Linked DNA regions of Arabidopsis thaliana. The protein of the gene in region 2 interacts with the protein of the main gene of each other region in a pairwise test. Each region holds a gene or a part of one and is shown on either strand. Other genes may lie near its edges.

Region 1 (8,632 bases), on a different chromosome or scaffold from region 2:
GCTAAACGACTGGACAGAGTTTTTGTTTGTGCCCATGCTAGGTTGAAGTGGCAGGAGGCTGTAGTGTCCCATTTACCTTTCATGGCGTCAGATCATGCTCCTTTGTATGTCCAGCTGGAACCGCTTCAGCAGGTCGATCCTCGTCGGCGCCCATTCAGGTTTGAGGCGGCATGGTTGAACCATGAGGGCTTTAAAGAGCTGCTGAGTTTGTCTTGGAGTGTGACTTTGTCCCACGCCCGATGCGTTGAAAGAGTTGCAGCGGAAGTTGAGAAAATGGAATAGAGAAGTGTTTGGGGACATTCACGTGCGCAAAGAAAAGTTGGTGGCAGATATAAAAGAGGTTCAGGACCTGTTGGGAGTGGTGTTGTCTGATGATTTGCTAGCTAAAGAGGAGGTCCTATTGAAGGAAATGGATTTGGTGCTGGAACAAGAGGAGACTTTGTGGTTTCAGAAGTCACGGGAGAAATACATTGAGTTGGGTGATCGAAATACAACTTTCTTTCACACCTCAACAATTATCCGCAGAAGGAGGAATAGGATTGAGTCATTAAAAGGAGATGATGATAGGTGGGTGACGGATAAGGTGGAGCTGGAAGCTATGGCTTTAACATATTATAAGCGGCTGTACTCGTTGGAAGATGTTAGTGAAGTCCGAAATATGTTGCCAACTGGTGGCTTTGCATCCATATCAGAGGCGGAGAAGGCAGCGTTGCTCCAAGCTTTTACGAAGGCTGAAGTGGTTAGTGCGGTGAAGAGTATGGGACGGTTTAAGGCACCAGGACCCGACGGCTATCAACCAGTCTTCTACCAACAGTGTTGGGAGACAGTGGGACCCTCAGTGACGAGATTTGTGTTGGAATTCTTCGAGACAGGGGTTTTACCAGCTTCCACGAATGATGCTCTGCTTGTGTTAATAGCTAAAGTGGCCAAGCCGGAACGCATTCAGCAGTTTAGACCGGTGAGCTTATGTAATGTTTTATTCAAAATAATTACGAAAATGATGGTGACCCGGTTGAAGAATGTCATCTCTAAGCTAATTGGGCCGGCCCAAGCGAGTTTCATCCCTGGGCGTTTGAGCATTGATAACATTGTGTTAGTACAAGAGGCAGTCCACTCTATGAGGAGGAAGAAGGGGCGGAAAGGCTGGATGTTACTCAAGCTGGACCTTGAAAAGGCCTATGACCGTGTTAGATGGGATTTTCTTCAGGAAACGTTAGAAGCTGCTGGACTGTCTGAGGGTTGGACAAGCAGAATAATGGCAGGAGTTACAGACCCTTCAATGAGTGTACTGTGGAATGGTGAGAGAACAGACTCTTTTGTACCGGCTAGGGGATTGAGACAAGGGGATCCGTTGTCGCCGTATTTGTTTGTACTCTGTTTGGAGAGACTGTGTCATTTGATAGAGGCGTCAGTTGGAAAGAGAGAATGGAAACCGATAGCAGTGTCATGTGGGGGGTCGAAGTTGTCACATGTCTGCTTCGCAGATGACTTGATTCTCTTTGCAGAAGCTTCGGTAGCGCAAATTAGGATCATTCGTCGGGTGTTGGAACGGTTCTGTGAGGCCTCGGGACAGAAAGTCAGCCTAGAGAAGTCGAAAATATTTTTTTCTCACAATGTGAGTAGAGAAATGGAGCAATTGATAAGTGAAGAGAGTGGGATTGGTTGCACTAAAGAGCTGGGGAAGTATTTGGGTATGCCAATCTTACAGAAACGAATGAATAAGGAGACGTTTGGAGAAGTGTTGGAAAGAGTTTCAGCTCGGTTGGCGGGTTGGAAGGGCCGATCTTTGAGCTTGGCAGGGAGAATCACTCTGACAAAAGCGGTTCTGTCTTCTATCCCGGTTCATGTAATGAGTGCGATTCTTTTACCGGTCTCTACGCTTGATACTTTGGATAGATACTCCAGAACTTTTCTTTGGGGGAGTACTATGGAGAAGAAAAAACAACACTTGCTATCTTGGCGTAAGATATGTAAGCCGAAAGCTGAGGGAGGGATCGGATTACGGTCTGCTCGTGATATGAATAAGGCCTTGGTAGCCAAGGTGGGGTGGCGTCTGCTTCAAGATAAAGAGAGCTTATGGGCACGGGTTGTTCGCAAAAAGTACAAAGTGGGTGGAGTACAAGATACTAGCTGGCTGAAACCACAACCAAGATGGTCCTCCACGTGGAGAAGTGTGGCAGTAGGGCTCCGGGAAGTGGTGGTTAAGGGCGTTGGATGGGTGCCTGGAGATGGGTGCACAATAAGGTTCTGGTTGGATCGCTGGCTGTTGCAGGAGCCGTTGGTGGAGCTTGGGACTGATATGATACCGGAGGGGGAGAGAATAAAGGTGGCAGCCGATTATTGGTTGCCGGGATCAGGTTGGAACCTGGAAATTCTGGGTTTGTATCTGCCAGAGACAGTTAAGAGGCGGTTGCTCTCGGTTGTGGTTCAGGTTTTTCTGGGTAATGGAGACGAGATATCATGGAAGGGTACACAGGATGGGGCCTTCACAGTCCGCTCTGCGTATTCCCTCCTACAAGGTGACGTTGGAGACAGGCCGAATATGGGGAGCTTCTTTAACAGAATCTGGAAGCTGATCACGCCTGAGAGAGTACGGGTGTTTATTTGGTTGGTGAGCCAGAATGTGATCATGACTAATGTGGAGAGAGTCCGGCGCCATTTGAGTGAGAATGCTATATGTTCGGTGTGTAATGGAGCCGAGGAAACAATACTCCATGTGTTGCGTGACTGCCCCGCTATGGAACCGATTTGGCGTCGGTTGCTGCCACTGAGACGACATCATGAGTTTTTTAGCCAGTCTTTATTGGAGTGGTTATTTACAAATATGGATCCAGTAAAGGGGATTTGGCCTACTCTTTTTGGTATGGGAATTTGGTGGGCTTGGAAGTGGAGGTGTTGTGATGTGTTTGGGGAACGAAAGATTTGTCGGGACAGGCTGAAGTTCATCAAAGACATGGCGGAGGAGGTGAGGAGAGTACATGTTGGTGCTGTTGGTAACCGGCCTAATGGTGTGCGGGTGGAAAGAATGATCAGGTGGCAGGTTCCAAGCGATGGGTGGGTGAAAATTACCACGGATGGAGCGTCCCGTGGGAATCACGGGCTGGCTGCGGCAGGAGGGGCCATCCGGAATGGGCAGGGGGAGTGGCTAGGTGGTTTTGCACTAAACATTGGATCTTGTGCAGCGCCATTAGCCGAGTTATGGGGCGCCTACTATGGGCTGCTCATTGCGTGGGACAAGGGGTTTCGACGAGTGGAGTTAGACTTGGATTGCAAGTTGGTGGTGGGTTTTTTAAGCACAGGGGTAAGCAACGCTCATCCGCTGTCCTTCCTGGTACGGTTGTGCCAAGGCTTCTTTACGAGGGACTGGTTAGTCCGTGTGTCACACGTGTATAGGGAAGCTAACCGTCTCGCTGACGGGTTAGCAAACTATGCCTTTACCTTGCCGCTAGGGCTTCATTGTTTTGATGCATGCCCAGAGGGAGTCCGTTTACTTTTGCTCGCAGATGTTAATGGAACAGAGTTCCCTCGAGCTGTTTTATTGTAATTTTTTGTAGTTTGTTCTTAATAAATTGGGGTAGGCAATTGCCACCCCTCAGCTTACCAAAAAAAAAAATCATACTAGAGTCAAATTATTCCATTGTCGACTTTGATTAGCATGTAATCCTAAGCCGACCAATGTGTGTGTATGTTGTGTGAAACATATGCTTTTCAAGTTTTAATTAATTAGTGAAGGAGGATTTGACATTAACCAAACAAAATATTACAAATTGGTGTAACTAAGATATGATATATGTTCATTTATTGATGTTTTTCAATTTTCCTATATTCCTTATTATATGATATATATAGTTATGTATGTTTCAAGAATTCGATATGGCACGCATGATTGAAGAATAATGATTGAGGAATTTTTCTGTAACAAAAAAATTTGAAATAAACAAATATGTGGCTAAGAACTTAACAAGGACACATGTTGATATGTGAAATAGGAATCTTATAATAAGGAACAAAAGGTTGAAAGCAAAAGGGTATTTATTTAGTTTACTTTCCTATTCTGAACCCTTAACTTCTGCTATCCTTTCCACCAACAATCTAATAGTATACTCTCTCTCTTTTTTTTCCTCTTCTTCTTCTTGTCCTTCGATTTTAGACCAACTAAACATATCAATATATTAAAGTAGCATCTCTCTCTCTCTCTCTCTCTCTCTCTCGCTCTTTTATTTTTAATATCAATTTTGTTGTCCAAATTCTCATCTCTTTGGGAAAACCCTAGACTAAAGATTCCAATCTCTTTTCTTCTAAATATTTCTTCATTTTTTCCCTTTTTTGATTTGGGTATGTTGGGTCATTGAATCTTGTGACTGCCATGGCAGATCTTTTGGGGATCTGCATAGAAGAGTTGCTTCTTGTAGCAGCTTTCAGGTAGCTGTGTCCAGCCTGCATCAGATGTTATTAACTCACTACACACCAAACACCACAATAACAACAAAACGGCAAGCATTTTGAAGAGGTAAACAAAGCAAGTGGGCAACAAAAACGGCACGCAAGTTTTTCTTCCAAGTTAAAACAACTCTTGGAATGTCATTTTGAAAGGTAAAAAAATAATGGGACTTAAAGGATATAGCGTCGGAGAAGGAGGAGGAGAGATAGTTGAGGTTCAAGGCGGTCACATAATCCGAGCCACTGGACGCAAAGACCGTCATAGCAAAGTGTTCACATCAAAGGGTCCACGTGACCGGCGCGTGAGACTCTCAGCTCACACGGCGATTCAATTCTACGATGTGCAAGACCGGTTAGGTTATGACCGGCCTAGCAAAGCCGTTGATTGGCTCATCAAGAAAGCCAAAACCGCTATTGATAAGCTTGAACTCGGGGAGACTACTACTACTACTACTCGTCAAGAACCGGTGAATACTAAACCGGAATCTCCCACTTTGGTTTTCCAAAGAGAGAACAATGACCAAACGCAGTTCGTGGCGGCCAATCTTGATCCTGAAGACGCAATGAAAACGTTTTTCCCGGCGACGACAACAACAAACGGTGGTGGTGGTACAAACATCAATTTCCAAAACTACCCTCATCAGGATGACAACAACATGGTCTCAAGAACAACAACACCACCACCAAACCTTAGCCAAGATCTTGGTCTCTCTCTTCACCCATTTCAAGGGAACAACAACACAGTCGTAGTTCCCGAGACCAACAATTTCACCACGACTCATTTCGACACGTTCGGGAGAATCTCTGGATGGAATCATCACGACTTAACTATGACGTCATCATCCTCATCAGAACATCAACAACAAGAACAAGAAGAAAGGAGTAATGGTGGTTTCATGGTGAATCATCATCCTCACCATCATCATCATCAACCGTCGATGATGACATTGCTTAATAGTCAGCAACAACAAGTGTTTCTTGGTGGCCAACAACAACAACAACAAAGGGGTACCCTTCAGTCCAGTTTATTCCCTCATTCGTTTCGTTCTTGGGATCATCATCAAACGACGTCGGATCATCATCATCATCAGAATCAAGCTTCTTCGATGTTTGCTTCATCATCACAGTATGGTTCTCATGGGATGATGATGATGCAAGGCCTTAGTTTCCCCAACACTACAAGACTACTCCACGGAGAAGAAGCTACTCAACCAAACTCTTCTTCTTCTCCTCCAAACTCACACCTCTAAACTAAGGTTTGCTTCTTCTTTTTAATGTATTTATATATTTTAAGTATAATAGGTTATTAATCAAGAAACCAGACAATAATTAAATCTTTCATAATTAAATTACCACATGTATTTCTTTCAGACAACCATGGAGGTTCAAATTCATGATGACATGCATTGAACAAGAAGGAGGAAATTAATGTGATGAATGGAGCTAGAGTAAGCGCTATATTAATTAGTATTACCATCTATCCATATATTTATGATTCAAGACTATTATTACTCATTTAGTGTTTGTTATTATTATTCAATTTTGCTTGTTTGTTTCTTATCATCTTTGCATTGATCATCAAGATTGTGATATTTGAAAAGATGGGTTTTATGTGTGTTTTGGTTTAGTACTGGCGTTAGGCTGGGATATTGTAATCTCATATTTTTGTTCTACGAGTGAGTTTGAATTTTCTGGTTTTTACTTGCGGTTTCTATTTCTTCGGTTAAGTAAAGAGTAATTGAAGAACGTTAAAAGCATAGGTCGTATTACATGAGTAATGAAGAAAAAGGTGTTCATTATCATCTGTGCAGATACCAATTTTCTTTTGTAATATAGCTTAGCTTGCTAAAAAGTTGCGACTATTTAATAGAAAAGTCAAATTTATTACAAATTTGGGATTTTTATGAAAAAGTTGCTATTGAGTATTCAATGCTTTGTGACAGTGATACCAAAGGATCTCGATAGTTTAGTCTGCTTTACTTGGTCTAATTGGGTTTGACAGAAGATTTTTCTATAATTCATCTTGAAATAATTGTTTTAGTCATATAGATAGGCGGGCTATATAGAGAATGACATTTATCACTTTTTGGCACTTTTACATATAGTATATATATATGTACATATATTTGGTTTGATGAAATACATGATAATATATTTAGGTTAAAGGAGTTTGTACTTTGTTGTCACATGATGATCATTAATATTTTTCCCAACGATGATCATCATTTTTATACAAGACGTTAAAAGCTACAGAATGTTCGTACTTTTAAAAGTCATCTACTGCGAGAATGACTACTTTGGCCTTTTGATTATGGATTGTGCTTGGATTATTAGAAGAGTTCAACAAAAGGATTACAACTTCCATCTACAGTTTTGTTACAAAAGGATTGTACTATATGTAAGTGTAACCCAACAAACCTAAACCAACAGACAGGAATGCGGTAGAGCAAACCGGTACAATCAAAATCAAACACCCTTCATAAAACTATATCGGATACGCCAAACAATATGAAAATATATGTCTCTGTGTTTAGTTTTTTTCGTGAAAATAAGATTCCGAGCAATATGAAGAGCTAAAGTGTTGTCACTGTAGAGTACACAGAGAGAGCATAAGAAGCATGCTTTATATATTTACATAATATAAAACCAAAATATATATTTACATAATATAGGCAATCCAAACATGTTCACAAATTCCAAGAGCCATAACTTTGTATTTAGCTTTGATAGACAATGAAATGGATGAATTTTCATTGAACATAAAATCCAAGATACATAGTACATACGAAATTGTGGATAACTTGCCTAGTCATAAGCAGTGAAACCTCAAATATATAGGTCTAGAGCAGCAAAGTAAAAACAAGCTTTGTCCAATGCTTCCTTTAAGAAACAAACAATCTTATGAACTATATGTCCCTTGGTGCATATGAGAATTGACCTTGTTTACCACCAAAAGAAACATTATCAGACAACATCTCGAAGATGTAACTTGCGTTGACAAACATAATGGTTTTTTTTTTATCTAACAATTTCCAAAATAGATAAGTACCGAAGATGACCAAGATCCTTGAGTTGGAAGTAATTAAATAGCCGAATTGTCAATTACAAAAAAGAACCAAAATATCATATGGTATCATCCACATAAACCAAAATACCAACAAAACTTTACCATAATACAATATATATGATCAACATTAAATATTATCAAATCTCAAATAAAAAATAATAAAGAGTTCTAAGAACATTTGTGGATAGATCATAAATAGATTTATAAAGTTTGCAAAAATCTATCATGAATTCTCCTTTTCGTCCTACAAATATTACATAACAATATGTAAACCACTTCATCCATATAAGCTGAGTCAAATTCTCAGTTCATCTTCGCTATATGTATCAACTTATCGGAATCACTTCTATTATTAATGGAAAAACCGAATATCACATAATGAGAGGTTTTAATTTCTACATAAAACTATAAAAGCCATGGTTGTATAATCAAATAGGACTGTGGGAGTAATATAAGCAATTGAAAAGTATAGGGAAAATATAAGATTCTACAAGTGATAATGTCCTATTTTGTAAATAACGATCAAATAAATTCCAAACAGTTTTAGACCAAAAACCCTTTGGTCATCGTCACCAGAGATTAGATCTAAAACCCTATCAGAGACCATTTCGCGTGAACAAAGATGGCGGGGCCTTTGCTTCGATCTCTTTGGTCAAACACCACTCGAAGATCCTTCTCTTCTCATTCATCACCTTCCAAATTCGGATACTCGCTCTCCTCCTTACGCTCCTTTTCAGCAGCCACCGCTTCCACAGCTGCAGCCGGAGCTCCTAATAGCTCGCTTGACCCTAATCGACTAAGAAACGTGGCTGTGATAGCTCATGTCGATCACGGGAAGACAACACTTATGGACAGGCTTCTTCGTCAGTGTGGTGCTGATATCCCTCACGAGCGTGCTATGGATTCTATTAATCTTGAGCGTGAACGAGGGATCACTATTTCTTCAAAGGTATCGCCTTTCGTATGTTTGGATTGGAATTAGAGTTAATTGTTACTTCACAATTTTGAAAATGGTTCTGTTTGAAAATGATTCTGAGACTCTATCAAAGCATATTTATGTTCTGTTCTTTTTTTTTTCTCAGTTTGTTCTGTTATGTCTGTAACTTGATGTGTTCTTTTACCGAT
Region 2 (7,143 bases):
ATAATATCATTTCATATCTATATAACAAATCAATTCGAGTAGGGATTTCTTTCAGTGTGAATTTAATTTCTAGATGACTATTTACGATCAAACTTAATTTATTTACAATTTTATCACCCGTCGTTTTTTCATAGTAAGCTATTGTTGGTATGAGAAGAGATATTAAAAAGAAGATAGACGGAAACAACCAAAAACTAATTATGTAGATTATCGTGGAAGATATAATTAAAAGGTAGACAAGATGGGACATTTCTCCACCCCTAACAAAGACTTTAGTTTTATGAGGGTTCACACAATTATTAATCTTTAGTTTTTGTACAAAGTAAAGCCTTAATCCAATCTCAAACCACCCAATTAACTTTTAATTGAGTTAGTAAGATTCGCAGATCTCTGAGCCCTCTATATATAATTATATTTCCAAGTATTATAATTGATATAGAAAAGGTTATTAACAACGTGTGTGTGTGAATTTTGACGTCAATCACGCGAACATACTCGTGAAACAAGGTTTCGTCATTTGGCACGTAATTCGTGGGGAACATGTTAACATCTGAGACTTTATTTTGGTCGTTCCTCGTTTTTTCCTTAACAAACCCCACTTTTAAGTAGTTTCCACATTACTTAGCTTTCTCTTCAAATTCCTTTTTTTCACCAAACTATCTTTACTTATTCAGAGGTTAAACTGAACATTCTTTCAAATCGAGATTTCGAAAGTTTGATATATGTTTAACTCGAAATTATTGGTACCATAGTTGAATTATGTGCAGCTATAGTAATTCATTATAACTCATTTAAAAATGTTAACCATAGATGGTAAAATAGTAATTTGTGTTTGTAGAATTGCTACGTTCCCATTCAAGTTTAAACCCATATAAAACATTTTTTTGAGAGAACAAAATTACGTGGTAAAACATGTTCAAAAATAAAACTCATTTTTTTATCTATAAACCTAAAAGATCTCTAACATGAGTTTTTATTAATTTATTAAAATGATCGATAATAATTAAAACTCGGTAATCTATAGATTTTAGGGGTTAATCTTCTGTTAAAAAATTACTTATTATAATATTAATATATACATATATATATATATATATATGTTGCAATTTTTTTTTTAATATGTAAATACACTATAACTAAACTCACAACTCACTTTGAAAGCAAACTAAATTATGATAAGTATAAAAGAATTGCGTTGACAATTTTTACCTTAGGCCCCAAAGTGTGGTACATGCAAACATATATTTCTAATATAGTCATAATTAAAGACATCCTTACTAGATGTAAGAAAGTAAATTGCAATTATAGTTCATAAATTTAAGTTATTTGACTTTCATTAAAATTTTGAGATCGTATCTGAAAATAGATACGCACGATAATGCGACGGAGACACGTGGGACACACAGAAGTGAGATGTGGGACTTTTGTTCCTTTTTTATTTTCACATCTTCAATTAGATTCTCATGTTTCTTTGTCACACATTTCAAACTTTTTGGCTTCTGGGTCACTTCAGATCACATCCCACATTATGATTTGTCTTTTTTTCTTTCTCTTTCAATTAACGAAGCAATTTTATGTTTGTGATAACATTTGTTTGCATCTACTCTATCTTGACTTTACTAATCACTTTCCGTCTGTCGGCATCTTTTTACTTTGTACTAATACATATTTTGGGTGAAATTTTAAGTAAAATATGAAAATACTAATTTAAAAAACATAACTGTTGTTCTAAATTTTTGGATGGTTTTAGAAAAAGTTTTTAATTAGTTTTCTACATATATATATTAATTTAATTTAGCCAACTACAAAAAATAAATAAAAAAAAATTGTTGATTAAACGACTTTGTAAGTGATTAACTTGATAAATACTTAAATTTTATGGTCAATTGCATGAGAGTAAAACATTAAAAATACTTAAGATTTAACGAGTTTTCGGTATAACAATCGGTACATTTCGTGGGGACTCTCCCCTCTAAAACATCAACTATAAACTTTGGATTACAAATTCTGTAAGTAAGTCACTTTCAAATCATCATCTGGGTTACAAACCAAGTCGAGATATGGAATCAAGAATTAAAAAAAGAGGAACAATAGGTAACTAAAGAGATGGAATATCAAGACAATAGGTAACTAGAGAGATGGAATATCAAGACAAAAGGAGGAATAATGTATAAGTTAAAATGTTTATGGTCTCTCGACTTACATATGGTATTGAAATTTGGAAGTTACAATAATTATACAAATTGGATGTTATTCCAACTTAGGTCTAGGTATCACGGGACTTTCTTGAGTAGCTTTAGAAACTCTCTCATTGTATTTGTAGGTTAATATAAAATGACTTAGTCTACAGACGACAATACATTCTTAGCTAACAAACAAAATATCCTAAAAATTATTGACTGCTCTAGATTAGATTACCAACTGTCCGGATCAAATTTATTTATAAAAGAAATTCAGATTATATATATTTGTTTTATTCTGAGAAAACGTCAGATGTTAAAGAATCAAGAAAGACCCGTTACAATATCTTGTGAATGTTTGTTCCTTTCGTTTCATTATGAGAGCGCAACAAACTAACACACTATCATGGTCATATTAGCTTATGTGAACAAGAACATAAACTTATGTTTCCGACGTTTTAGTTGGAATTGATAAACAAAATTGGAAAGAAGTCAGAGTTCTAGGAGGAAAATGAGTACTTTATATCTAGGACTAGTTTGATATATAATTCAATATGTTTATTATGGATGAGTTGTTTTGAGATTTAGGCGATTGCATCGTAGAAAAATCAAGTTTTTTTTTGTGGGATATAAAGAGTTTTTTTAAGAATTTGTGAATCTTAAATTAGATTAAGGAGCGCTAGTGTCTTAAACATTAGGTGTACCTCCATGAAATTAAATCTACTAAAACATTTGCCATTAACAAATCTCCGAACTTAGTATGTTGCTGAGAATATATTTGCATCGTAGAAAAATATGTTCAAAAAGTTTGCAAAACAATAAAAAAATATACCAAAACAAATTAGTCTATACAAATTTTTTGTGGTAAATTAAATCTCTCATAGTTACATTTAAAAACTTCTTTCACTTATTTTTAATTTCAAAATAAATAGCAAAATCAAGTTCGTAAATAACATAATTTACATGAAACGCATAGAACGCATCAAATCAATGGTTTTTTACTTTTTTTTATTAATCATTTAGAAATTTATTTTTAAAAAAAGATTTGTAATTTTTTTAAAACAAGTATGTCGTAATTATTATTTTTTGCTTCAGAATCACATTAAAAAGTAGGTGGAAACATATGAATTTTCCCGAAGAGAACTAGTAAGAATAAACACATAAAAGTAGAGCCAAACTGAAACTTCCTTTCACATGAAAAAAAAGGAGACAAATGAAATCCAATAGGGTCCCATTATCCATGTCGTCTCGGTTCGTGTGTTCCTCAAACTCCCACTTTCACTGTTCTTTTTCTTTCTTCTTGGGATGTCCGAAAAATAAAACAAATACGTAGAAAACAAAAACCAAAGTTAATCACACAACAATCTCTCATATCTTTCACACAACACACACTTGCACAGTGTCTCCCATGTTACTGTACAAAGTCACATCTCAGTTTATATAAATATATGCCCTCACTCATCAACCTCCTCTTATTATAAGCCTTATTCAACATATCTCTTTCTTTCTTTCTAATTCTCTCTCTCTCTCTAAAGACATACATATTTAATGGAGGAGCTGGATTTTAGTTCAAAAACAACAACTTCTCGTCTAAAGCTATTTGGATTTAGTGTTGATGGAGAAGAAGATTTCTCCGATCAATCAGTCAAAACTAACCTATCTTCTGTATCACCGGAACGTGGCGAGTTTCCGGCAGGATCTTCCGGAAGAAGTGGCGGTGGTGTACGAAGCCGAGGCGGAGGAGGAGGAGGAGGAGAACGTAAGTATGAGTGTCAGTATTGTTGTAGAGAGTTTGGTAACTCACAAGCCTTAGGTGGTCACCAAAACGCTCACAAGAAAGAGCGTCAACAGCTTAAACGTGCTCAGCTTCAAGCTACACGAAACGCAGCCGCAAATTTCTCAAACGCTGGATCAGCGTCTCAGTTTTTAAGGAATCCTATAGTCTCTGCTTTTGCTCCTCCGCCTCATCTTTTATCATCATCCGCCGTGCCTCAGCCTATGGGAGGTCCTTGGATGTATCTTCCACGTGTTTCTCCATCTCAACTTCACGTGTCTCATGGCTGCGTCATCCAAGATGGTTCGGGTGGTGCGGGTGCTGGTGGGTTCTCGTACGAGTATGGGGCTCGTGATTCAGGGTTTGGAGTAGTTGGGGCTCAGATGAGACATGTTCAGGCCCATGGGCCGAGACCATCGGTTAATGGGTTTTCAAGAGAAGTAGGAACTACTTTTGATGATGGTTTAGGGTTGGATTTGCATCTCAGTCTTGCACCTGCTGGTCATTGACGTGTTTTTTAAAGCTCTTGTATATTTATCAACATTTTAATTAATTTATTTATTTTTAGTGATTTTTTTTTTCTCTATCAGTATTTTTAATTAATGACTTTAAATTCCAGTGATTGTTTGCCTAATAAATATTTTACTAGTTTAGACTCCAATTATGCTTTACTACCACAAAAAGTAGAGTCTCAAAATGCTTAACCAATTCATGAAAAAACATTCCAGAAGGTAATATTTGTTGAGACTCCAAGAAAAAAATATAAACAATAGGACCAAAGACTAAAAATATAAAAATAAACGTTAGGAGATAAGTTGTCAGGTGCACTGAAAGTGATTTTATAGAATGTATGTTTAAACACATACAAAATAATAATTCCAATATTCAGATCCATTAGATCAATCGTTTTTCAAAGCCTTTTTATTGTCAGGCCAATAGAATGCAAAGATGAGTATGAAAACTCTACACCTTTACTCACAAATTTGCTTCAAAATTGTGCTTAAAATTAGTCAAAAGGGACACGCTGCAACCTTTTTCGGATTGCGTTTGAAATTGATACGCCTTCAAATCTGTTCTGAAGTCCTTTTTTTTTTGGACAAAAGCTGTTCTGAAGTCTATGCACAAATTACTTTTGGAATTCTCACAGTTTTGACATATTGGTTTTTAGAACCAAAGTATAGAAAATTATTACTTTAGATTCGAAAATTGTTGGTAGGCCTCTGTTTTACAACAATGGAAAAAGTTAATCTACAATTAGCATCGTAGTAATTATGTACAGCTTTAGTGAGTTTTGGTCTATGGTCTTGTTAGTCGATTACACAGTTTTGTTAGAATTAAATTTAGTAGATTACCCAATTTGGTTAGAATTAAAATTACTTCTCTAACACAATTTGGTTATAATTAAAATTTTCTCATATTTAGGGATTGTAGGACCACTATAATCTTTTGGTCAATATGATTCAACTCCAGGTTTTCAAAGTCAAATACTCTCAAATCTTCAGTTAATTATTCCCTTTAGGAGCATACATGTAACCACTAGCAACGGCTATAAAGAGAGATGTCAACATACATAGAGATAGAGTTTTGGTATGTGCAATCTACATGCATATACAAACCCGGGTCGAAAATACAATTTTTTAAATGATTGTGACAACGTGATACGTTTTCTTCGACTTTAAATATCACTAGGCTCCTATATATCTCATAATTAAGGCATACAGGTACTTATATAATGGAGGTATCTTACACTATGCTAACATTTTGTTTATTCTTAAAACATATATTTTCTAACGAATGTGGATATGTAATACCAAAAGAAGAACAATTTTTAATAATAAAATAGCTTACCTCAACATTTAGAAAATACTACATGTCACAAGCTAGGAAGAATCCTCGGGTCCCCGAATTTGAAATTATAAAATTAATTTAATTAACAATCGTATACTAATATGTAGGGGGTATAGGTATACCAGCGCATTTCGTGTTTCAACATGAAATGGGATCCTAGTCACCATGAGCAAATAAAATATACATGACCTAAAGCATATTTGTTTTTTAGATACTTAACAATGCAATTGGCACATATGTATGTGTCTATGTGTGTTTATAGTAAGGTGTGATGGGAATTGGAGCAGTTGAGTATTTATATACTTATAAGTTTAGAAAGTAGTTTTGAACATTGCTTGGTTAGAAACTTTTTTTTTGGTTTATTGTGTAGTTAGACACTTAGATGATGTGTTGGGGTAAAATTTTAATCTGCACGTAAAACATTTCTCTACCGGTCAGGGAAAAGTACGTTTCCATTATTTCAGAAAAGTTATCTTCCAAATTTCTCAATTAGAGAGACGTCATCATTAATTAGTCGACGATCCTACAAAACTCAAATTATTTTTCCCACTGAATACAAAAAACAAATATGATGAATTGTGTACATATACATTTCAAGTGTTATCTGTGTCTTTTTTTGTTACGAAATAGCTATCTCATCCGCATCATCGAAAATTCTGCCTTTAACCGCGTAGTCTCACTCGGGTACCAAGAATCCAGCGAATATAGAGATTTTCTTTGTCAATATTTCCATACAAGAGGATTCTCTTAAACATTATTGTTCTATTCTTTTCTACTTCTCTTCTCTCTTTTTTTTTGGGTGGCATTCTACTACTCTTCTCTTAGCAATAGTCTTTAATTTTTTTTTTTTTTTTTTTAATCAGTAAACTTCACCTCAAAAAAATAACAATATTAAGTGTATGTTTCATGTTTGTATATGTAAAAGGTACTTTTTTTGGAGGGAAAGTTTTTTCGTAGTCCCTAAACGTGCTTTTTTGCTGCACCATGTGTCCTTTTTAAGGAATCATCTAAGTCCTTATCACACCATCAATCATGCAATATATACACCCTAATCTAAAAGATACCCACTAAATTTTTTGCTCTTGAGGGTACGTCTTATTTATGCTTTTGCTTTACCAGTCTGACAATTACACATATACATTGCATATAATCTCATTGGCTTACAATATCAAAAACATTGGATCTTCAATAATGTATCATGCATGCACATATGCATCACCACCTAACAAAAAATCGAAAATAATAGAAAACAATGATTTCGGCTTTATTATACACAGTCGCAGTAGACAGTAGTCTAGACTTTTAACCCTAGCTATATTCTCCAATAACACATGGGAGAAA
Region 3 (8,101 bases), on a different chromosome or scaffold from region 2:
AAAGGACACTTAAAATTGATAAATACTCTAATATCAATCTTCCAGTAAACAAATACATAAAGTTTGGGTAGTCGTAGAGATTACAAACAACAAGTATCAAAATTTGTTACAAAATCCTAGACAATCAGATCTTTTTATCCACCATGCAAAGTGGAAATGAAAACTACAACATCTTTATCTTCGATTACTGTATCGAGCTGACCACTTAGCTCCCAATCACAGTCATTCACCAGCACAAGAACCCCAGGTCTCCTGCACAACAGTTATTAACCTTCATTGAGCTTAATAAAGAAGTCTTAATGAAATCTTAACCTACAATGAGCTGATAAAGAAGAAAAATAGTCTTACACAGTATCTCCTTTCATGAACATCTCAGGTCTCTCTTTGATCAGATTTGTACGAACCCATGAAAGCAAATGCTTCATGGTAAACTAATCCAGGAATCAGAAAAGTGGAATGAGTGAGAGAAAAATTGCGAGCTTTATGATCCAAAAACATAAGAACTCAAGCTTACATCATCAGAGTCAGCTCCATTGGGCAAATCAACGTTTACTTTATGAATCTTTTCAGAATCACAGAGCAGCTCTAACCCACCCCTACACATCACATGTCAAGTTTCACTCTTCTCAATCATTGAACAACAACTAAAACACACACATGGTTCAAGTTCTTAAATTTCAGTATTACATACAATCAATCAGGAAAATAATCTCAAAAGACACCAAGTCAAAATCAGAACTTTAGTGAGGTAAAAACTAAAAACGCTACGAATAACAAAACTCCGATTACGAAAAGATTAAGTGATAATCGTACCCGAATTCAAGAGTTAATTGCATCGTCGTTGATGTTTGCAGGAGGAACCAAATTCAAAACCCAGCTCTTCTAGGGTTCGTTCGTGTGGTGTTGTTGTTCACTGTAAAACGACATCGTTCAGGTTGAAGACATGTTGGGCTATTTAATTGGGCCTAAAAATATACTACAAGATAAGGCCTATTACTTTTCCCGATGAATCATCATCTTATGTTAAAAAATTACTTATCGCATCGTAACCGTTGATTACAGGAACTGTAACGTATCAACGGACGATATTGATTCCTAGTTTGTCACTGAAAATAGAAAATAGATGGTGCCTGATATTTTTCCAGCGACCGGCAAAATTGCAACCAGGAAGAGAAAGAAAATCAGAGATTGATTTAACGTGAATGGAATTTTGTTGTTTCCCAATTTCTTCTGAGAAATAGCAAAGTTCAGTTTTGTTTCTCTCTATCTGAAGCTCAATGGAAGCTTATAAGCAATGGGTTTGGAGAAATAGAGAGTATGTACAATCCTTTGGATCCTTTGCCAACGTAAGATTCATTTTTATTACTCTTCTCCTTAATTTATTTTCCAGTTTGATTATGTTCTGATTCTCTGTCGATTTGGGTTTGTTTTCGTCTCGTCGTTAGTGTCAATTTCTAAGTTTTTCATCGTCTGCTTGTTTGAATATTTTTTGCTTGAAGGGTTGTGTTTTAAAATCGAAGCTTTTATTTATTGGGTTTAAGAATGAAAACCCTTTGAAAAAATTTAAGAGTTGAATCAGTTCGATCTTTTAATTCGTAGTTGTGGAATTCATCAGCTGATAGTTCGTCAAATATGTTTGTTTTGTTGCAGGGATTGACATGGCTGCTTCCTGAGAAGTTTTCTGCTTCAGAGATTGGACCAGAAGCAGGTTTTGTGATACTTTGGTAACATTTTACTGCTTTCAATCTTAGAATAACTGTTTCCTTTATCCCTGTTAGCTCCTAAAGTCTCTTGTCTGAATAATGAACACTGTCCTATACTCAGTTTTATCGGTTCTTCTCAAATTACATACTTCACTTGTACCTCCTCACATGTTTCGTGTCCTAAGTCTTTAACATTAGAACCTTCAAGTTCCAAAGAATGTTTCTTTCTTTCTTCTTTTGTCAGTTTTGTGTTCATGGAAGTGTGATTGAAGTTTTTTGGTAATCTTCTTTGTAGTAACGGCTTTTTTGGGCATATTCTCAACGATAAATGAACACATAATTGAAAATGCTCCAACACCTCGTGGCCATGTTGGATCTTCCGGGAATGATCCATCCCTTTCTTATCCACTACTCATCGCCATCCTCAAGGATTTGGAAACTGTTGTGGAAGTGGCAGCTGAACACTTCTATGGAGACAAAAAATGGAACTACATTATTCTCACTGAAGCTATGAAGTAAGCTTGCTTTCTTCTGATCACTTGGATCTACACAACCTACTTAGTTGGCATTTTGATATCTTGAAAACTTTGAATTTTCAGGGCTGTCATTAGGTTAGCCTTGTTCCGGAATAGTGGGTATAAGATGCTTCTTCAAGGAGGGGAAACACCTAATGAGGAGAAAGATTCTAACCAATCCGAGTCGCAAAATAGAGCTGGTAATTCGGGTAGAAATCTCGGGCCTCATGGTCTTGGAAACCAAAATCATCATAATCCATGGAACTTGGAAGGACGGGCGATGTCTGCTTTAAGTTCATTTGGTCAGAATGCAAGAACAACAACATCTTCTACCCCCGGTTGGTCTCGAAGAATTCAACATCAGCAAGCAGTTATAGAGCCTCCAATGATCAAGGAGAGGCGAAGAACGATGTCCGAGCTACTTACTGAGAAGGGTGTTAATGGAGCGTTGTTTGCGATTGGTGAGGTTCTTTACATAACGAGACCGCTCATTTACGTTCTTTTCATCAGAAAATATGGAGTCCGATCTTGGATTCCTTGGGCTATATCGCTTTCTGTGGACACACTGGGGATGGGTCTTCTTGCAAATTCGAAGTGGTGGGGAGAGAAGAGCAAGCAAGTCCATTTCTCAGGACCTGAAAAGGATGAGGTTAGAAATCTCTTGGACCTCAATACAACAGTAATGTTGAACCGATTTAACTCATATTCTTGTTACTTCTTCAGCTGAGGAGACGAAAACTGATATGGGCATTGTACCTCATGAGAGATCCATTCTTCACCAAGTACACAAGGTGAGTGTTCTTATGGTTTCAATTATGGCATTTTCTGAAATGGGAAAAATTGAAACCGAAGTGGTTCATTTCCTCTTGGCTCTTATGTTAATATTAGATTTGGTATCCCTGGGTTTTAGGCTTAAAGCTTAAGCTATCGCGGGTTACTAATAAATCAAATATGCTTGTCTTGCAATTGCAGGCAGAAGCTGGAAAGCTCTCAAAAGAAGCTGGAACTAATTCCATTGATCGGATTCCTCACAGGTTTACTTTTTAAAGCTTTCATTTCATTCACGAGATCACTGATTGTCTTGTCTACTTGCCATCTACTGACCTTATTTTGGTTCTCTCATGGAAATTGCAGAGAAAATTGTGGAGCTTTTGGAGGGAGCTCAGTCACGGTACACTTACATATCGGGATCGTGAGGTTAAGCGTTTTACTTATGGTTTATATGCAACGGAAGAATATTGCCATTGTTGGAATGCTTTTTCAGATCATCAAAGGCTCCTACAGATTTCTTAGGGAATGGTTTCAGGCTTTTGTTAGAAATTGTGTTTATTGCAACAGGTAGAGAACATAACCATAGACAGATGTATCTGAAGAGATAAGCTTCTCTATGTCTAAAGAAATGGACCGATACGAATAAAACAAGCATCATTAAAGATTAAATGGTTTGTAAGAAATACTACACTTATTTATGTGAAATTGTGTGGTTAGTGAAAAGTAAAAACATCGGAATCCAAAACCTCAAATTTACCAATCAGCCCAAATTATTGATGCTGGCGTAATGAATGGTATGCTGATGGTAGGCAAAAGTTGGTGGCTGCGAAAATTACAACATTATCCCTCTGTGGTGGACCCGAATCTGTAATCGGAAAAGGTGGAACCCACTTGGTTTAACTTTTAAGCCTAAAAGGTTACTACCGGTTTGACCGGTTTATAATTTGGTGTTTAATTCTAATCCCGGATCCGTTTGTTTGTTAATCTCAAGGCCACGTTATCGCCAATATTTTGATTTTTGAGTGGGTAGGGAATGGTGGGGTCGAATAGTTGGGCCTAGCCCTCAACAATGTGTGGAACTGAAGAGAGTAGGGTCCAGCTCAGGCCCACATTCACATTTTCGTTTTGTAGCCTTTCTTTTCTGGTGCTTACGGTCCCTCTTTCTGGTCGGTCGTATGTACAAGTAGCATAGCTAGTGGTTCAAACCCGAAACAAGTACCAACGAATCAAAATAAGTTTGAATCGGTTACATCTAGTTACCGTCGAACTTACAATCATTTCGATTACTTTGATCTGATTTCTAGTTCGGTTTGTATGTTTAATATCCGGATTGTACAAGTACACAAGTACATAAGTATGCGTATATGTATGTGACCGGTTTAATCAAAGGACGGACGATAGGAGGATTTTGGAATCCTGGAAAGAGGATTATTCCATAGACACTAATTAGCTTTTTGGTGGCGCAGCCTTGTGACCTACATTAATGGGGTCCAACCCCAAGTATGGGCTTACAGCTTTTTCCATAAAATTAAAGTAAATCTTTTTTTGCCTAACCAATAAAAATTATTGAAAATCTTTCCAACCATAGAAAAGTTAAATTTGATCAGCGATGGAAATTTTTGTACAAAGCTAGGTATTTCATTTGGGAGTGTACTAGTAACTAGTAAGTACTAACCAGAATGAGTTTCTGATTTTGGATTTTGAAGCTTTTCTTAGGTTAAAAAACAAGTATATTACTAAACAATAAAAGAAAAACATTTTGTGAAAAGAGAAATAAAGTTTACTGGACCCCATTGTACAGATGGTCCCATAATAATACTGATAGAAGATAGAGCAATGGAAAGTGATTTGTTCACGTGGTACAATCGGAATGGTTCTTTAAAGCTCATCGAACACATCAGGACCGTTGATTTTTCCCGCATCAAAAAGCGTTGAATACTATTCTCACTTGTTTTCCTGCTCCTATATATATATCCTGACGAGTCACATTTAGTAATCTCCTTGGACGTGTAACGCCGTTAAAACGATTCTTTCCCATTGTATCCGCTTTTAACAACTCTCGTCGTCATCTCCACCGTCCGTTTTCTCTCAGCTATATTTTAATGGCGACAATTCAGAAGCTTGAAGAAGTTGCAGGCAAAGATCAAACTCTAAGAGCCGTTGATCTAACCATCATCAACGGCGTCAGAAACGTCGAAACTTCAAGACCTTTCCAAGTAAATCCCACAGTGAGTCTCGAGCCCAAGGCGGAGCCGGTGATGCCGTCGTTTTCAATGTCTTTAGCTCCACCGTCTTCGACAGGACCACCATTGAAGAGAGCTTCGACTAAAGACCGTCACACGAAGGTTGAAGGAAGAGGGAGAAGGATACGGATGCCTGCCACGTGTGCGGCTAGGATTTTTCAATTAACTCGAGAGTTAGGTCACAAATCCGACGGCGAAACGATTCGGTGGTTGTTGGAGAACGCTGAGCCGGCGATTATAGCCGCCACGGGTACGGGAACGGTTCCCGCCATCGCCATGTCGGTTAACGGAACCTTAAAAATCCCGACGACGACGAACGCTGATTCTGATATGGGTGAAAATCTGATGAAGAAGAAACGTAAACGACCTTCTAACAGTGAGTATATAGACATAAGCGACGCCGTTTCAGCTTCCTCCGGTTTAGCTCCAATTGCCACGACGACAACGATCCAACCTCCGCAAGCTCTGGCATCATCCACTGTGGCTCAGCAACTTCTGCCGCAAGGAATGTATCCGATGTGGGCTATTCCATCAAACGCAATGATTCCGACGGTCGGAGCTTTCTTCTTGATTCCACAAATCGCTGGTCCGTCGAATCAGCCTCAGTTATTAGCTTTTCCCGCCGCCGCTGCTTCGCCGTCGTCTTACGTCGCCGCTGTTCAACAGGCTTCCACGATGGCTAGACCACCTCCTTTACAAGTTGTTCCAAGCAGCGGCTTTGTATCCGTTTCAGACGTTAGCGGTTCGAATTTATCAAGAGCGACGTCGGTTATGGCTCCGAGCTCAAGCTCAGGCGTAACAACCGGTAGTTCATCGTCAATTGCAACAACAACGACGCACACGCTGAGAGACTTCTCCCTAGAGATATACGAGAAACAAGAGCTTCACCAGTTCATGAGCACCACAACAGCACGGTCATCGAACCACTGAAGAAAAGAAAGGAAACGGCGGCGTATTAGTGATCGGAAAAAAAGCACGTGTGCACATGAAGAAGTGCACGTGTTAAGAAGTGGGCCTCGATTTTAGGCAGAAGTGGGTCAACACGCACCAAAAAGAGAGTGGAGGGAGGAGGAGAGGGGCCACACGGCTCCCACCTTACGCATAGCTTCCGAGGCAGCCAGGTTGGGTGTGGTCCCCAAATGGTTAGAGCTACGTGGTCCGTATGAGTAGGACCAGCTTAAGCTTAAGCATAATTCGAAACGTTTCGTTTTTTTGGTGGGGGCTCACCACTTTGTCTTGACTTTTTTGGTCTTTGTAATTTTACAAAATAAGATTTATTGAAGCCCTCTCTAAGTCATGGTCCACTCAACAACAATTGTGATATTGATGTTTTGATTTTATTAAAATCTGTAACAAAATAAATATTTCTATCTAAAATGAAAATACTAATGTTGTTTTCCTAAAATTGTTGTAGCATTACTTTTCAAATGATTCCATTTTCTTACAAGTGTTACAAAAGCTTTTTGCGAAAAAAGTCTCGTCCGTGTTATTGGCGGGGCCTAGTAAGCTTGATTGTACCACTAATACGGCGTTGTTTCGTGGGGCCTGAAAGCTTCCCACTCAAGGGACGCCTAGTTGGGTCAGCACCACCAGTTTAACGCTAAGGAAATAAAGGAACAGCCTGGCGTGGGTCATACTTGTGTCTATCTAATCTTTACCGTTCAATTCCATCGTCTTGTCCTAACCGTTGATTCTATTTCGTTCGTTGTTTAATTAGTACTAGTAGTAGTAGATATTTTCTTCTTGTCTACGGTCTCAACGCCAGACAGGATTTACTATAAGATAACTTTGTTTATGTTTGATTTATAATTCAAGTGTGGTTGGTTAAAGTTAAACCATGGTTCTCCGTTTCACACCGTTGATTATATATTTTTTTAAGATATGTAGGAAGTAAAACTTTAAAAGGTTAAACACAAGGTAAAATGTATTATTGGAGGCCTAAACCAACTTGGTGGCCGTGGATGGGGAAAAAAGGTCCAGAAGTGTTGGCTATAGGATTCCTCGTGGACTTAGAGAAATGACTTGTCGTTCTCTTCTTTTATTTCAGTGGACCTCATTAATTTTTATATATAGTTGGCCTATAAATTTATAAATGTTCCTTTATTTTTCTTAAAAAACAAAAAGGTTTTAAATCAAACAGCGGGAAACCAGCCCAATGCTTTTTTAATTTCTTGATTAAGCCCAAAAAAGGGAAAAAGTTGTATGGGCTTACATAACATTTAGGACTAAGGCCCATTATTTTGCGAACAACACAAAATTGCTTACATAACAATTGCTACGATTCATGTTGCAGAAGAACACCGTTTTTGTTTTTGTTTCTTAGCCTTAATTTAATTGTTTGTATTCAATTGTTTTTATCATTTAGAATTTTGCTTCGTCCTTGTCGAAATCCTCTCTTATGTTCTTGGGTTCTTATGTACTTATTCTTTTCTTTCTTGTTCGTTCTTTTTTCAAGTTATGTGAAGTAATATTTGTCAATGATTTCAAAGTAAGTTGTTAAAGGCTCAAGAAACCAAATCGTTATCTATTATGTCACTAATAAAATTCTACTAAATATATATAATTCTTCTCCTTTTTTTACTTGCCGATAATTGTATCCTATTTACAATGAAATAACGCAAAAGACTTGGCGTATTATCTTTTGACACACGTTTCAAGTCAACGATTTCGACATCTGCTTTATTCTATTGGTATGTCGACCAAGATGTCAATGAAGGGGTGGACAACGATTTACTGTTTTCAAATATCTGGATTATTAACCTCTGGATGTTATCTATATTTTAGAAAATCTGGATACCTCCACAAGAACAACATCCATGTTCCGAACTAAAAAATGGAATCATATAATTTCTGTTTTTAGTAAATTAAT
Region 4 (7,435 bases), on a different chromosome or scaffold from region 2:
TTATTTGGAACAAACATGTATCTATTCCAGTATTCAAATTCTTTTCTCCCTAAAATCGTACTTTGAGTCTAAGCATGTACTTTGGTGCAGAAGAGCTGGACAGAATCTGTTTTTGGTAACTATTAAAAGAATCTATTAAAACGTTTTTTAAAATTTTTATATAAAATAAATGGATGTTATTGTAATTAAAATTTTACTTAAATATTTTTAGATACATTAATGGAACCTGGAAGTAATTTTCTTTAACTCAATTAATTTATAAAAATTGTAATTTGTTTTTGTTTTGCCACTTGAAAAAAAATATTGTAAATAGAATCTTGATGGTGCCAAATAAGGAAAGAACACGAACGGTTTAGAATACGGATGGTGCCAAATAAACCACATGAAAAGGTGGTTGTTGTGGTTATTAACTTAAGCTTAAATATGAGTAATGAAGACTAAAAATCAGATGTAAAATGGTGGCATTTTGATGTGTTCGTGTGTGTGTGGATAGAGTAAGATTGAAAATGAATAAAGAAGAGAATTAAACGAGAAGATGGTCAAAAAAGGGTAACTACTGTTGAGTTATGCCTATCAGTGTTTGGTTTCAATTGCCTTGGCTTCGCAGTACGGTTGGTGAAGGATTTTGTGGTACTATTTTTTTTTCTGCATCTTTTTTGTTTTGCTTCTCACGTGTACGGCACTATTTGCATTGTAGTTACGGATATTATAATAAATTTTTTTGAAGAAAATTTTAAATTAGAAAATTACTTATTTTGTCAACAATGAGAAAAAAAAAAAAAAAAAAAACAAAAAAAACTGGATACATAATTTGGATACGGTTGAAAACAAAGAAACAAAATTTTTTGTTACGGTTTAGTTTACTTTAGTTTCGGTAGAGAAGAAATGGTTTCGTAATTCGTAGAAATAAAAATGGTACAGTATAATAATTGAAACAACATTTCTTTTTTGATTTCATCAGTTTACTAACTCATGAATTATCATTCTTGGATCGAGAGTTACATTCTTCTAAACTGTCATTGAAATCATTAAAAAACCATTACTATAATTTGTCTACAATAAAAACTAAACCTCAAGGTAGATCACACTTAAACTTGTCTCCTTATTAATACTCTTAATTAGGCTATGGTTTCGAAATAGAACTTAAAAAAGAACTTGATTATTTCACTAATATCAAGATGAACATCTCTTGTTAATCTTAACCTTAAAGCCATGCTTCATTTTAAGAATTAAACTAGTATCTGGCTCAAACTTCTGCCCGTTGGCAACCTTGATGTCATAGTTTTGTAATATCTCCACCGCCACAATCTTCATTTGAACCATAGCTCTTTGTTTACCATGGCATATTCTCGACCGGCATTGAATGCTAACTCTCCGGTCTCGGAAATCCATCTCTCTGGCTTGAATTCTAATGCATCTTCTCCCCATACAGCTCTCATCCTACCCACCACCCCATAAATAAAGACCAAAATCTTGTTTAAGTACATCTTTGTTTAAGTACTCCATTGGATCACAAGATGGTCTCTCTTGGCCACTACAACTTCTTGGTAGATTCATGTCAATCTCTTGGCGAATCTTGGTCACCACTAGAGGGTTTTCGGACAAAAACCAAAAGAACCAAGTGAGAGCAGAGGCAGTGGTATCTCTCCCAGCTAGAAGTAAAGCAAAGACATTGTCTCTTAAGAATTTATCATTGATAGGATCCAAGAGCTGGTACTGGGTTGTATCAAGCTTTATGTGAGATGTCAAAAGATTTGCATGACTATCTCTAATGAAATGATCATTATTATTCACTTGTGATCTTTTTACCTCTTCTCTCCTGGCTGATATGTATTTCCCACACACTCGATCAAAAATGGCACCAGCTTCTATCATCTTCTTCTCCATCCCAACTCCGATCCAGCTTTGTAGCTTCCACGAGAATCTAGGTTTAACGTGCCTATACATTATTCCTTCTACTATTGTGTCGAGAGCTTTAGCAGACTCAACCTCTGGCGTTTTAGCAGACTCATTTTTAATCTCATTTTGATTTATTTTTTAAAAATGATAGGATAGTTCCATTAATTACCAAAATGTTTGACAGAAACATAAAATTGAAATTGTGCTCCCAATTCTTTTACAAATCTTACTTAACCTAAATCAGGAATCAAACTTACTAAAAACTAAAAAGAAACTAGAACTAAGAGTTAAAATTCCTTAAGTCTCATGACATGAAGACGGAGATGAGTTCCCTGAGCCACCCAAAAACTGAAGCTCTCTCTTATCATAAATCTCCAACGAAAAATCCCTCAGCGGTTGCGTCGTTCCGCCACCGCTCGTTTCCATCTCCGCCTCAGCGTCTGAAGCGTTTGAGACATAACTAGACACCGGTCTAGCACCAACATTCAGAAACGGAGCTGTAGCAACGGTAGGAATAGCCCACATTTGGCCCATTTGATCCGGCCCACCAGTAACAAACGCAGTACCCATACCCATAGGCCAAAACGGCACAAACCCCTGTGTATTAACGTTCAGGATATTAACGCCGTAGTTTGACGCCGTTATCGGAGCTAACCCAGAAGTAACGGAGCTATGACAGCTGTCATTAACGTCTACGAAATCGCTCGTACAGTTTCTCTTCCTCCGTTTCTTTATTAGGTCACCGTCACCGTCACGGCCGCCGTCATTCAACACTGGAGAGCTCGTCGGGATTTTTAAAGTTCCGTTAACCGATACAGCAATAGCCGGTACAGTTCCGGTTCCGGTTGCTTCAATTATCGCCGGTTCAGCTCGTTCCAATAACCACCGTATCGTTTCTCCGTCGGATTTGTGACCAAGTTCACGGGTCAATTGAAAGACCCGAGCAGCGCAACCCGCCGGCATTCGGATCCTCCGACCTCGTCCTTCTACTTTCGTGTGACGGTCTTTAGAAGTCGGTCTCTTCGGAGCCGGTTTAGTCTTCACCGGCTGCAAATACCCGTCTTCTTGTTTCATGAGCATCATACCCGGTTTGGTTTTCGGATTCGGGTCAGACAGATGGGTCATGGTTGTTACTTGGTCAATCACTTGTATCGCGTTGCCTTCGTGATTCGATTCCATTTACCACAAAACCCTAGAATATCTGAATGTCACAAAACTTCAAAATCAGCCGAAGAATTGATTCAAGTAGGATATAGTCAAAATGTTTAGTTTTTACTGATTCTTTTGACGAAAAATGTTATCTGTTTGAATTTGACAGATTGAAAACTAAAGAACAGTGGATAAAAAAAAGTGAGGAAACCCTACAAAGGTAGAAAAATAAAATTAAAAAACCACAGCTAACCTTATCCTCTGCACGAAGAACCCTACAAAGATGGAAGAAGGGGCCCTCAAGATCATCGTTTTTATTTTTATATAGTCCCATTACAAATCAACGGTCTAGATCACATACTTCATATGGGCCTGTTTTAGCTAACTAATGGGCCTTGGCCTCGACCACATCACAAGAGTCATGTTGTGGAGCTAATTTTTTTTTTTTTATTGATAGTTGTACAGTTGAACCGGTTTCCATTTAAGAAGTGAACCAAACCAACCGAATTGGACAAAACCGAGCCATAACTAGGGCAATACAAAACTTAGCTATCTCAAAACTGAGTACTATTGACAAGTGCAGCTTATGTTCATTTCTGAGTATTATTGACAAGTAAAACCATTATTGTCTTGGTCTGAATTCTATCACCAAAACGACTAGTCTCTATTTTGATAGCATGTTACTGTTTTCGTAAAAACCAATTTGGTGTACCTAATCCCTTGTTGATTTTGTTGTATACAAGGTTGAAAAACTTTGGTCCCCACGAGAAGATTGGAACTGCGTAGTAAAACAAATAGTGCATGATTTACAACACCAAGATTCCAAACTACTCGGTAAATATTCTTGCAAGCTTAGGGTAAGCTTTATAAGAAATGATGGCAACAAAAAATGTCAATTACTAAGCATGACTCTCGAAGACTAGAGTATGAAGCTTGGAAATAAGGTTTCACCCGCCAAAAAGAAAACAATTCACTATTCATTATTTAATACTATATTTATAAGTTAAAATTATCAACATTGGTCATTTGTAATAATCTTTTGATGTTGACTACTAAAAAAATAGATTAAATAAAAGTATTATTCCATATTTTTATAATAGATTGATGTTTGGGATTTTTTCACATATTAAAAAAAAAACATTATCTAATCATTAACATTTTTTATATTAAATATTTTTAAGTTTAATTATGAGCTAATAAAATTAAAAGTTTAATTATTTTCAATCATTGCATTTTGAAATTTAGTATTTATCATACTAAAAATAAAAATAAAAATAACATCTAGAAAATCATTTGTGCAATAAATTTTATAAAATCAAAATTTTTAACAACCGAAGAAATATATAGCTGATATGGGTTTATTTTAGTTATTGGGCATTCATTTGCCCCGTTCATATCTACTTGACATCTAGGAATGAGCGAATTGTAAATAAATATATATGAGCTACCTTTTTTCGAAAGTTAATTATTTTTTTTTGAATCAGTAGCAAAATCAAAATTAGTGGGAGATAGAGGTGCTACTTGGACGCTAATGTTGACGCTGACTTTGTACTGAACAAAAATCAAAATTTTCATTGATACTTGAACCGGTTCTGATGTAAGAAGTGAACCAAAGCAAACCGAGCCAAAACTAGGCTATATGTTAACTAGACTACTTCACGGTTCTTATGTTCAAAAACATGAACTCCACATCTCACACTCTCTTTATCAACAAACTCTGAATCCAAAAACCGAGCAACGAATATCCAAAGTTTATAAACATCTTCGAAATTAGCAAGAAACCCTAACGCAGCAGTGAGAACAGAGATCCTTGGTTCGTCGACGTCTCTGTTTCTTTTCTTCTCAAAAACTCTATCTTTCACGCCTTCGTAGTCTTCTTGGAACAAGATGTTCTTCAAGAAACTTTTACCGAGTGAGATGTTGCTGCATTCGGCTAACTTCTGCACGATAAAAGGTTCGATTTTTTCGCCTTTATGGTTGAATAGATTGAACGCAACCGCTGGTCCTCGATTGAAATTAACTTTCGGACCGTAGATTTTAACTAGACGACTAGTTGTTGAATGTTTGAGTTTGTAGAGAGCACTTACCAACCAATTTATCAAGCATCTTGATCTGTTCCCTGTTGCTACCAACCCTAGTGAATCTACATGATCTAGGCCTTTGTATTCGACACTAGAGCTAAAGCTATATGTTTCTTCCGAATCTGTTTGTGTTCGGTTGATTTCCAACGCGTGTAATGAAATCGGATTGTCGGTAGGTACGAGGTTAATCATACCTGGACCAGTGGAAGATTCAAGAATCGATATGGTGGATTTCTTGACAAACAAGCAACCAAATCCGGAAGGGTTTTCTCCAAACACCTTGTAGAACGAACACACCATGAAATCGGGGTTATATATAGAAAGCCCGAAACTATCCATATCCTTAGGTCCCAAACCGCATGCATCGATCATTACATGCCACCCATTTTCTTGTGCCACACTCATCCATAGATACGGATACCTAGATCCTGTAACCCTAGAATGAAGCGGAAAGACGTAAATACCTTTCTTCTTCGTCTTGCTTCCGTTTTTCCCAGCAGTAACCAGTTTTCTCAGCTTGGACGAACAGAGTTTGAGTCTTGGCCATGAGAATTCAGCTGCAGCTACTTTGGCTCCACGTTTCTCAGAGACTCTGTTTATTTCACTCACCGCCTCACTCTCGTAGTCGTAAACCGTCAAGAGCTTCCGTTTTGAGTTAAACGGGTAAGACTCGGCGACGAGCCTGAAAGCAGAAGTTCTATTAGCGGTGAAGACCATTGAGTAGTCTTCCTCGGAGATTTTGAGAAACCCCATTATTCTTCTTTTCATTGAGTACTCAAACTCTGTTTCTTGACCTCCATCGTTGAGAAGCTTTTCCTTAAGGTTACCAATCTTGGGAGAAACACTGAAGAAGGGACTTTCAGACAAGGAAGAAGAGATCTGGTAAGTGGAAGGGTCGTAGTTGAGCAACTGAGAGTAAGAGTACAAACCAATTCCTATGTAATCAAGACATGTGTAATGTGATAAACCCAAGTGAAAGTAGTGGTCGGATCTAAGACGGTCGATCTTGTAAGTGTCGGAGTAGTTGGGGTAAGCTTGGATGAAATCGGAGAAAGATTCTTGATGAGAAGGAAGAGAATTTGGGTCGGTGAATTCGGTGTCCGGGAAGATGGTGGAGACGGTGGTTTGGGCGAAATTACGGCGGAGAGTAGCGGAAGTGACGGTGGGGGTTGAATGTGGTGGGTGTTCGGAGCTGGTGGTACCGTGAAATGGTGACGATGAGAAGCAGCCGTGAAGGCAGTTTGGTGGTGAAGAATCTCCGGGAAAGGGTTGGTGCATTTTTCTTCTTTTTTTGGGTGCAAAAGATTTATGACTCTTGTAATTGTCAAGTCATTAGCCTATCTTGTGTTAAATAAATACGCTAAAGTCTAAAGTTTATAAAAGTAGTGCACCTAAGACAAAAGCTTGTTTCTCTTTTCTTTTACACTAAAAAGAAAAGCAGAAGCAAATTAGGCGGGAATAATGATGATTATCAAGAAAATACTGAAAAGTGTTCACTTTGTCTTGTTTCCGCAAGTGTTTTTTTTTAGAACGCGTAGAGTTTAGTGGTCAAGAAAGTGTTTTCTTTTTCACTTTTGTTTCCTTAGCTATTTACAATGCTTACATGCTAAGATATACCACTATGCCCAATTGAGTAAACAAAAACAGCCAATAGTTATGTTATATACATATCTATTTTTTTTATGTTATATATCTTGTTAATGAAAAAAAGGCGGAATATAAAAGATTAAAAATATACCAATTCTTTTAGTTAGTACAATAAACTCTATTTTTTGTATCAAATAGCTATCAAAAGAACACTGATCTGTCTGTTGGTATATCGGCCTCGCTCCTCAAGCTTCTATTATTTAATTTACAACGTTATCAGAAAGTGTAAACATCACACTGCGTTATTTGTTTATTTTCTCATGTTATGTTATTACTATCGTAAAAAGGACAAAGTTCTCTGGTCGATCGTGGTGGTGGTTAAAGGAGCACGCGAACCGTTCGAGGACTATAATGATGAGCGGGAGTTACTTTTACAATTTAGAAATCTTGCTCTTTGAAGAATTTAGTTTGATTTCTCAAAATTAGTCATTAAGAAATATAGATCGCGACTAAACTAGGGAATCAAACGCATAGAAATATCGAATAATGGGAGAAATAAAAGAATTGGATAATCCTATTACACACACCAAAAAAGAATAATAGTTTTTTTTTTGGGGACTCTACTTAACCTATATTTGTTTGAATCAAAGCCAAGCTAATTATAGGATTGTAATTAAAATACACATTCGAGAGAATAGGGTGCTACAACCAATTCTTAT

The links.
Region 1: the proteins of AT1G68360 (region 2) and TCP10 interact in binary tests that used the Arabidopsis thaliana proteins (3 or more experiments, as listed by UniProt).
Region 3: the proteins of AT1G68360 (region 2) and TCP9 interact in binary tests that used the Arabidopsis thaliana proteins (3 or more experiments, as listed by UniProt).
Region 4: the proteins of AT1G68360 (region 2) and AT5G51910 interact in binary tests that used the Arabidopsis thaliana proteins (3 or more experiments, as listed by UniProt).

Annotation. Positions count from the first base shown.
Region 1 is NC_003071.7:13,218,042-13,226,673, reverse strand, and holds TCP10 (TCP domain protein 10), read left to right. Parts: upstream 1-4,064; 5' UTR 4,065-4,604; coding exon 4,605-5,690; 3' UTR 5,691-5,696; intron 5,697-5,811; 3' UTR 5,812-6,196; downstream 6,197-8,632. Other genes in the region: EMB2785 (elongation factor family protein), read left to right, coding at 8,130-8,468. UniProt on the Arabidopsis thaliana protein: Plays a pivotal role in the control of morphogenesis of shoot organs by negatively regulating the expression of boundary-specific genes such as CUC genes, probably through the induction of miRNA (e.g. miR164). Participates in ovule development.
Region 2 is NC_003070.9:25,618,998-25,626,140, reverse strand, and holds AT1G68360 (C2H2 and C2HC zinc fingers superfamily protein), read left to right. Parts: upstream 1-3,547; 5' UTR 3,548-3,728; coding exon 3,729-4,463; 3' UTR 4,464-4,608; downstream 4,609-7,143. UniProt on the Arabidopsis thaliana protein: Probable transcription factor required for the initiation of inflorescence trichomes in response to gibberellin and cytokinin. Acts upstream of GIS, GIS2, ZFP8, and the trichome initiation factors GL1 and GL3.
Region 3 is NC_003071.7:18,818,778-18,826,878, reverse strand, and holds TCP9 (TCP family transcription factor), read left to right. Parts: upstream 1-4,989; 5' UTR 4,990-5,091; coding exon 5,092-6,162; 3' UTR 6,163-6,637; downstream 6,638-8,101. Other genes in the region: AT2G45695 (Ubiquitin related modifier 1), read right to left, coding at 135-252, 349-431, 515-596, 814-836; SSE1 (shrunken seed protein (SSE1)), read left to right, coding at 1,278-1,346, 1,651-1,708, 1,999-2,218, 2,303-2,867, 2,942-3,009, 3,191-3,252, 3,353-3,414.
Region 4 is NC_003076.8:21,092,508-21,099,942, forward strand, and holds AT5G51910 (TCP family transcription factor), read right to left. Parts: upstream 3,385-7,435; 5' UTR 3,302-3,384; intron 3,196-3,301; exon of another isoform or gene 3,101-3,195; 5' UTR 3,079-3,100; coding exon 2,197-3,078; 3' UTR 2,059-2,196; downstream 1-2,058. Other genes in the region: AT5G51900 (Cytochrome P450 family protein), read right to left, coding at 1,174-1,440, 1,486-1,947; AT5G51920 (Pyridoxal phosphate (PLP)-dependent transferases superfamily protein), read right to left, coding at 4,695-6,407.